Callithrix jacchus: one gene and its partner. The protein of the gene in region 2 purifies or fractionates together with the protein of the main gene of each other region. This does not show direct contact. Links are inferred from orthologs where the notes say so. Each region holds a gene or a part of one and is shown on either strand. Other genes may lie near its edges. The genes, in order: NRBP2 and TSC22D4.

Evidence for each region.
Region 1: the proteins of TSC22D4 (region 2) and NRBP2 purify together in Homo sapiens (affinity purification with mass spectrometry; 3 studies listed by BioGRID and IntAct, counting the BioPlex papers as one, with this or other methods). This does not show direct contact. The link is inferred for Callithrix jacchus from reciprocal best matches to the Homo sapiens genes TSC22D4 and NRBP2.

Annotation. Positions count from the first base shown.
Region 1 is NC_133517.1:53,777,270-53,780,064, reverse strand, and holds part of NRBP2 (nuclear receptor-binding protein 2), read right to left. Parts: intron 2,160-2,795; coding exon 2,027-2,159; intron 1,912-2,026; coding exon 1,809-1,911; intron 1,731-1,808; coding exon 1,680-1,730; intron 1,606-1,679; coding exon 1,470-1,605; intron 669-1,469; coding exon 615-668; intron 519-614; coding exon 455-518; intron 363-454; coding exon 205-362; coding exon of another isoform or gene 149-204; 3' UTR 1-148. UniProt on the Homo sapiens protein: May regulate apoptosis of neural progenitor cells during their differentiation.
Region 2 is NC_133503.1:13,245,015-13,249,505, reverse strand, and holds the start of TSC22D4 (TSC22 domain family protein 4), read right to left. Parts: upstream 2,995-4,491; 5' UTR 2,592-2,994; intron 2,141-2,591; 5' UTR 1,872-2,140; coding exon 1,110-1,871; intron 1-1,109.

The DNA of each region.
Region 1 (2,795 bases), on a different chromosome or scaffold from region 2:
CTCCACAGGAGGTGGGGGTTTCTTCACTACCTGGGCCTTTGTGCTCCCAGGGACACAGTAGAGGGCAGCCTGGCAGTGCTGGGCTCTCCCCAATGTGGCCTGACCTGGGCAGCACCCTGGCATGGTCCCCTGGGGCTGGGGCACCAGGTCAGGCCTGGGCCCCACGGTACTTGAGGAAAGTGCTCTCCAGGAAGGTGGCCAGCTTCATCCGGTCGCCCTGCGGAAGGAGGGAGGCATGGGGGACGGAGGGGTGCGGCCTGCCCCGCACACCCCCTCGGCCTGGCAGCACCACCCTGCCCTGCACACCTCGTGGAGGAAGCCGTAGTGCACGAGCTCCGCGGCGAGGTCCTGAGCACTGTCCGCTGGGGCAACGGCGTAAGGTGAGGCTAGAGGCCACTGCGCCTCCGGCTACCCGGGGTCACTGCCCACCGCCCAAGTCCCCTGCCCAGCCTACTTGGGAGCAGGTCGTAGGTCAGCTGCCGGTGCAGCCGGTCCTCCATCACCAGAAGCAGAGTGAGCTGGGGAGGTGGCAGGGCAAAGTCGGCGGGGAGTTCGGGGGTCTGCCAGGCCCCCGCCTTCCCCACAGCAGTGCCGTCCTCCCGGGCCCCGCTCACATGCCAGCGTGCCTTGTCCTCGCTCCTCTCCAGGTTGCACTGCATCTGGATGACCTGCAGCGGGGGAAGGCTGGGACTCACAAACCCAGCAGCAAGAGCACATGCTGCTGTGCCAGAGGGGCCCAGAAGGGACAGCAGAGATCGTCAAGCGGGGAGTCTCTAAGAGGAGCCCATCTCACTGCTAGTGGCCTGGCAAGCTAAGGAAAGCTTCTTAAAGAATCAACATTAGGAGCTGGGTACTGAAAGGTGAATAGGAGCTTTCACCATGGAGAGAATGACTTGAACAAAGAGGGAACTATGGGCACAGGAAAAGGGAGGGTGGCCAGGACAGGGCCACACGGAAGTGCACAGTGCCTGCAGAATCAGGCCTCCCAGAGCCTGGGCATCGGCTGAGGACTCCCATGATCTCTGTGGCCAGCCAGGAGCAGGCAGTTTGCTTGTTTAGGACATGAATTCTGGCTGCACTGCACTGAGAGAGGCTTCTGGCCAGTAGGCAGCACTGTAGAAGTCTGGGGAGACACCAGGACACAGATGTCCAGGAATCAGCACCCGGGGGTGGGTGAAGAGTGCTGGCAGGTAGAAGGGCCCCAGGTGAGTCCTGGAGGAAAGATGGTTGGAGTGGGTTCAGGGCAGCAGGATGTGGGGGAAGGATCTGAGAGGACATGGAGCCTCCTAGAAAAGGGGAGTGTCCAGCCTGTCCAACAACCCCCACGATCCGCACCGGAGGATCAGCCTGAATCCGGTCTCTGGCCGCCTGGAGGAGAGCTGGGCTGTGGGGATGCAGGCCCTGAGAGAAGAAGGGGCACCTCTTGTCTGTCTGAGGGCTGGCACTGAGCAGCAGGAGAGAGGCCTCACCTTTCTAGTCTCAGAGTCAAAGGGCTCTGGTGTTGGGGTCTTGGCCTTTTGGACCTCTTCTGGGGGTGGGGCCAGCACACGGGGCAGCCCCAGGGGCCGAGTGGCTGCAAAGTTCATCAGTGGGTAGATCCCGTTCCTGGGGACACACCAGGGTAGCTGGGGACTCAGGCCTGACAGCTGCCTGGCCCCCAGCCTTACATCAGCTCTCACCTGACATCTTCCAGGAATTTGTCCAGCTCCATGAAGGAGACCTCCGAGTACCTGGCATGGAGGTGGGAGGCACATGAGGGGCTGGCCAGGGACGCTGGAAGGGGAGGCTTCTGGGCGCTGACTGCTCACCGCCACTGCAGTGGGGGCCTGCGGGGCCGGGGAAGCTCTGCCAAGACAGCATGCAGGTCCATGGCCTTGGTCTTCTCCTCCACCACATTCTCAGGCATGAGGTCTGCGGCCACAGGAGCATCAAGGTGATGGGCTCAGGCCTTGGGTCCTGCAGAGCCCCCTTCCACGTCCCAACCCTCAGCCTCCCTGGCCACCCCCTGGGCTGGCCTGCTGCTCACATTGGTGCTGGATGAAGCAGTGAGCTGCCAGGAGCTTCAGTGAGTGCACCTCGAAAAGCACTCGGTGGAAGAGGAGGCTGTGGGCAGAGGGCCGGCGGGCAGGGTCCCGGGCCAGGCAGCAAAGGATGAACTCCTGGGGTGTGGGGAGGAGGGGCTGGTGGTGTGCAGGGGCTCTCTGCTCTGACCCCACAGTTCGAGGAGAGGCAGCTTCTGAGTTCCCCATGTCCCTCCTCCTCAGGGACACATGGGACATGCAGGGATGACCACAGGGAGGAGTCCTGGCAGCAGCCAGGCCAGGACCAGGTCCTCCGAGCTTGAGGACAGCTGGGTTCTGGGATTGGAGCGCCCATGCTCTGCTTCCCTCAACCCTCAAAAAACTGTGGGGAGTAGGAGCCATGACCCTCAAGTCACACCTGCAGGCCTCCTACCCACAGACTTTTGATCGGCCCAGCTCAGGCTCAACACTGGAGACAGCCATGTGGACAGGTCCTCACCCTGTCCATATCCATACCCACTCCAGCTCCAGCTCCCCACCTGCCCGTGCAGGCACCCCCATCTCCTGAGGCCATGGGGCGAAGTCTGGACTCCAAGCAGAGGGGCTGGGGACGCAGCTTCCATCCCATACCTCTTTTGCCTGCCTGGCACCCACCATGTCTCCCCACAAGCTGGAAATTTAAAGTCAAGTTATTGGACTGAAGCAGACCCAGGTACAGAGGTTAGCTCTACCATTTACTCTAAAACTTTGGGTAAAGGACTCATCTCCGAACCT
Region 2 (4,491 bases):
TTTGGAAGAGCCTAAGGACAGGGACCAATAAGAGAAACAGCATCTTCTCCCCCGGGGTGGGCGTTGAATGCAAGAGTTCAAGAAGAGTGGGGGAAGGAAGGGGGGTGCATCATGAGAGATGTGAACTTGAGGCCAGGAGGGGTGGGGGGGAGCCAGTCCTGACTGGTCCTGACAGGACCCAGACATCCAGTCCCAGGTTATTTTTATACTGTGGTTTGTGCCCAAGGCCAGGAAGGGGAAAGAGTTCGCATCCTCACACTCCCTGCCTTTCCCCAGCCCTCCGAGGTGTTATTTTCTCCCGCAGGACAGAAGTATTCAATCCCCATGTCTCTGGCTTCTCGCCCCCACCCTGGGGACCCAGGCATCCTGCCCCCCACCCCCAGCCCAGACTTGTTCCTCTTTTGGAGACAGGAAGGAGAAACAGTACGGGGACTGCATTCCTCCTCAAGTTCTTCTTGCCTGGAGGGAGTTGAGCCAGACAACTGGGGAGTGAAAAGGATCAACCAGCAAGCCCCTTCCCCATCCCAGGGAGGTGTTCCCCCCACCCAATTTCTCCATGACACTTGGCTTGCAGCAAAGCTAGAAGTGGGACTGCGATGGGTGGCTGGGGGAAAAGAAAGACCCCACATTCAGGATGGGGCTGCAGTGGAAAGAGACTGGCAGCATACAAGGCCTACCTTTTACCATTCCTCCCCAAATCCTGGCAGCTCCTACCCCAGGGACCCAGCTACCCAGCTGGGGCCTCCACCCTCATCACCTAGAGCCAGAGGAGCTGAGACCAAGACAGAAGAAGGCCAGGTGAGGAGGCCACATATGCCAGGCCACGTGAAAACCAAGACAGAATCAGAGGCCAGAGAGAAAGAGAAAGGGTGCAAAAAACAGGAAGGAGGCTGAGGCAGAAAACCAAGGAAGGGGCTTGAGAGTGACTTGGCAGGCACAGAGAAGGGGCTGTCTGATCTGATAGACAGGTGATGGAAGAGGAGGAGGTGGAGGAGGAGGAGGAGAAGGGATAGGAGGGGGGAGGAGGGGGAGGGAGGCAGAGGTAGGGAGGCCCAACATGAAGGTCAGGCCAGGGCTGAGATGGGCGAGCCCTAGAACCCAGGTCTTACCTGCCCCATCTCCTCTGGAGCACCCAACTCCATCCGCAGCCGCATGTCTACAGCCTTCCTCCGGGACAGTGGAGGGGTCCTGGACCCGGAGCCCCCAGCCTCTGCTTCCACCCTCAGGGAGGGCAGGGGTGTGGCAGCCCGAGATGTGCCCCCGCTCTCCCCAGTCCCAGGCTCTGGGGGGCGCTGCTGAGGCGGGGAAGCCGACAGTGGGGGTGTCTCTGCCTTGGCTTTTCCGGGCACCACCAGCTGGCCCAGCCCCCCAGTGAAGGAGCGGGCCTGAGGTCCGGGAGAGGTCGGCGGTGGACGGAGCCAGGAGGTGGGGCCCTGAGACAGGCCTGACTGTGGGGTGGGGGTGCCCAGGCCGAGGCTGGCCAGCTCCAACCTGGAATCCAAAGATCTGCCCCCAGCGCCCGCTGATGTCCCTCGAATTCCCTCCAGGAGGCGGCCAAAGCTGTGGGGCTCCAGGTCTCGCTCATAAACATCCACACAAGTCCAGCGACCTCGGCGATAAGGCTCTCCCAGGCCGTGGGGCAGCTTCACCACCCGGAAACGGGAGGAGGGGGCCCCAGGTGGGGGAGAGCCATTACGGGGGGTGCCCTTGCCCCCCGGATCAGGGCTGTGCTCCCCATTTGGCAGGCGGGGTGGGGGCCCGGTGGGGGGCAGTGGGCCAGGGGGGTCCGAAGCCGCTGGGCTCCCCGGGCCCTCGTAGTCCGTGGTCACGCTGGTGATTTGGAAACTACTCTTCTTCTTGCCCCCGCTCATGGTCCCTGGGGCTCAGGGCTGGGCCAAGGTTGGGGGTAGGCTGGGGCTCCTTGAAGGGGCTCAGGCACCCCTGGAACAAGGGGGCCACATGGTGGGGGCATCCGGGCCCCTGGGGACGTCTGGGTCCGACATGGCAGGAGGGCCTGGCGGGAACCGGGGGTGCCTGCTGGGTGAGGGGAGAGGAGGAGAGTGGAGGTGGCAGGAGGGGGGAGCAAGGGCAGGTTTTTCCTGCTGCTGTCGCTGCTGAACTCCAGAGCTGAGTTTGCAAACTGGAAAAAGACAGAGAGAGAGAGAGAGTTTATGTGTGTGTCTGTGTGTGTGTGTGAAACCAGTGGGCAGGCCACCTCCGGGGCTTCCTCTCCGGGGAGCAAAGTGGGGGAAGAGGAAACCGTCAGAGAACCAGAGGCAGGCAAGAGATGACAAGAGACCAGGGCAGAGGGGACCGGATCCCAGAAGGCGTTCAGGGTAGGAAGAGGCAGACGGGTCCCAGAGTTGAACATTTCTCGCTTGGGATTCCGACTCAGGGATCCTGCATTGTCCCAGGAGCTCGGACTCCAGGGCCTGGGAGAACCGGGGTGAAGCAGCTCCCCAGCCTGGCCCGGCCACCCAGAGAGAGACCTCTCCTAGGCCTCCAGCCCCCACCCTCACCCCAGCTCCCACATCTTTGGGTCAAGCCCTGCCAGGCTACCCCTCTGCGCCCCGCCCAGCCACAAGCCCTACCTCTGGGGCCTCGGCCACTGATCTGAGCCTGGGGGTCCCGGCGCCTAAGAGGTAGGGCTGTCGGTTCCCTGGGGCCTCCTGGCCCCGGGCAGTGGCGGGACTCGCAGGCGGCGATCACAGGCTGCCCCGTCCTCTTCGGGGGCCGCAGCTCATTCTGCGAGGCATCTCCGTGTAAAGTTTGCTCTCCGAAAAGAAGGAACCCGAGCCTCCTCCGAGGAGCCCAAGCGCGGCCTCTGAAGCACCAAGGGTCTGGAGACGATGTGGGAGGGGGCGGCGGAGTCCCCCGCTGCTCCCGGTGGCAGCCGGCGAGTTGGTGTCCCGAGTCTCCTCCCGCGTGGCCCCGCTGGGTCCTTGTCTCCGCTCCTCGGCTCCCCTGGGTCTGCCTCTCCGTCTTTCTCTTTCTGAGCTGTTGACAACCCCCACACCAGGAAGTCCTGCCTCCTCGGGCCTGCTGACTGCTCCTCTCCTCCTCCTCCTCCTTCCCCTCTTCCTCCCCTTCCTCCTCCCTCCCTCCCTCCTGGGGCTCCCCGCCAGCTGGCCAGGGGCCAGGCCTGCCACAGCCGCTGCTGTTGCAGTTGTTGCGGCCGCTGCTCAGGCTGCTGCTCCTGGGGGCCGCAAACAGACTCCCTTAACCCCACACCTGCCGGGCCCCAGCACCACTCTTGCAGGGAGGGGCTGCAGAGGGCGGGGCTCGGGGAGAAAGGGGAGGAGCTTGCAGGGAGGCGAGGGATTCCCTTACTTGTAGTCAATTGTTGCCCCTCTCCTAGAGACTCACCAAAGAGAGGGACGGCACAGGCCTGGAGGTGTACTGGGTGCCCCCCCAGAAGTGCCTAGTTCCTGCTGTGGGGCGGCTGTGGCTATTACCGTCATTCTCCTTTCCTTTCCACAGCAACTAAATGAGGAAGGTACTATTATTCCCCTCATTCCTTATTTTTAAAAGTGGATTATTGCCGAATACTGTGGCTCACACCTGTCAATCCCTGCACTTTGTTTGGGAGGCCGAGGAAGGAGGATAGCTTGAGACCTGTTTGGACAATATAGCAAGACCCGGCCCCTACAAAAAATAAAAGAATTAGTTGGGCATGGTGAGGTGCACCTATAATTCCAGCTACTCAAAGGCTGAGGTGGAAGGCTCGCTTGAGGCCAGGAGTTCGAGACCAGCCTGGGCAATGTAGCGAGATCCCTGTCTGTACAAAAAATTTTTAAAATTAGCTGGGCATGGGGAGGTGCACTGGTAATTCCAGCTACTCAAATGCTGAGGGAGGAGGATTTCTTGAGCCGAGGAGTTTGAGACCAGCCTGAACAATATAGCCAGATCTCCATCTCTACAAAAAATTTTTTAAAAAATTAACTGAATGTGGTGATGTACACATATAGTCCCAACTACTCAGGAGGCTGAGGCAGGAGGATCTCATGACCCCAGGAGGTCGGGCCTGCCATGAGCCAAGATGCACTCCAGCCTGGGCAACAGAGTGAGATGACATTTCATTCAGTGAAATGACATTGTTCGGGAGCCAGCTGTATTTTGCTAGACTATTTGAAATCAAATCCTGGACATTATATTATTCCCCTCTCCCCCACCCTCCTCCTTTTTATTAGAGACAGGGTCTCTCTCTCTCTCTCTCTGTTGCCCAGGATGGAGCACAGTGGTGTGATTAAAGCTCACCACAGCCTGGAACTCCTGGGTTCAAGCCATACTCCTGCCTCAGCCTCCCAAGTGGCTAGGACTTTAGACGCATGCCACCACACCCAGCTAATTTTTAAATTTTTGTAGAGGTGGGGCTGTCACTATGTCCCCCAGTATGGTCTCAAACTCCTGGCTTCAATTGATCCTCCTGCATCAGCCTCCCAAGTAGCTGGGACTACAGACACAAACTACCATGCCTGGCTACATTTCTTA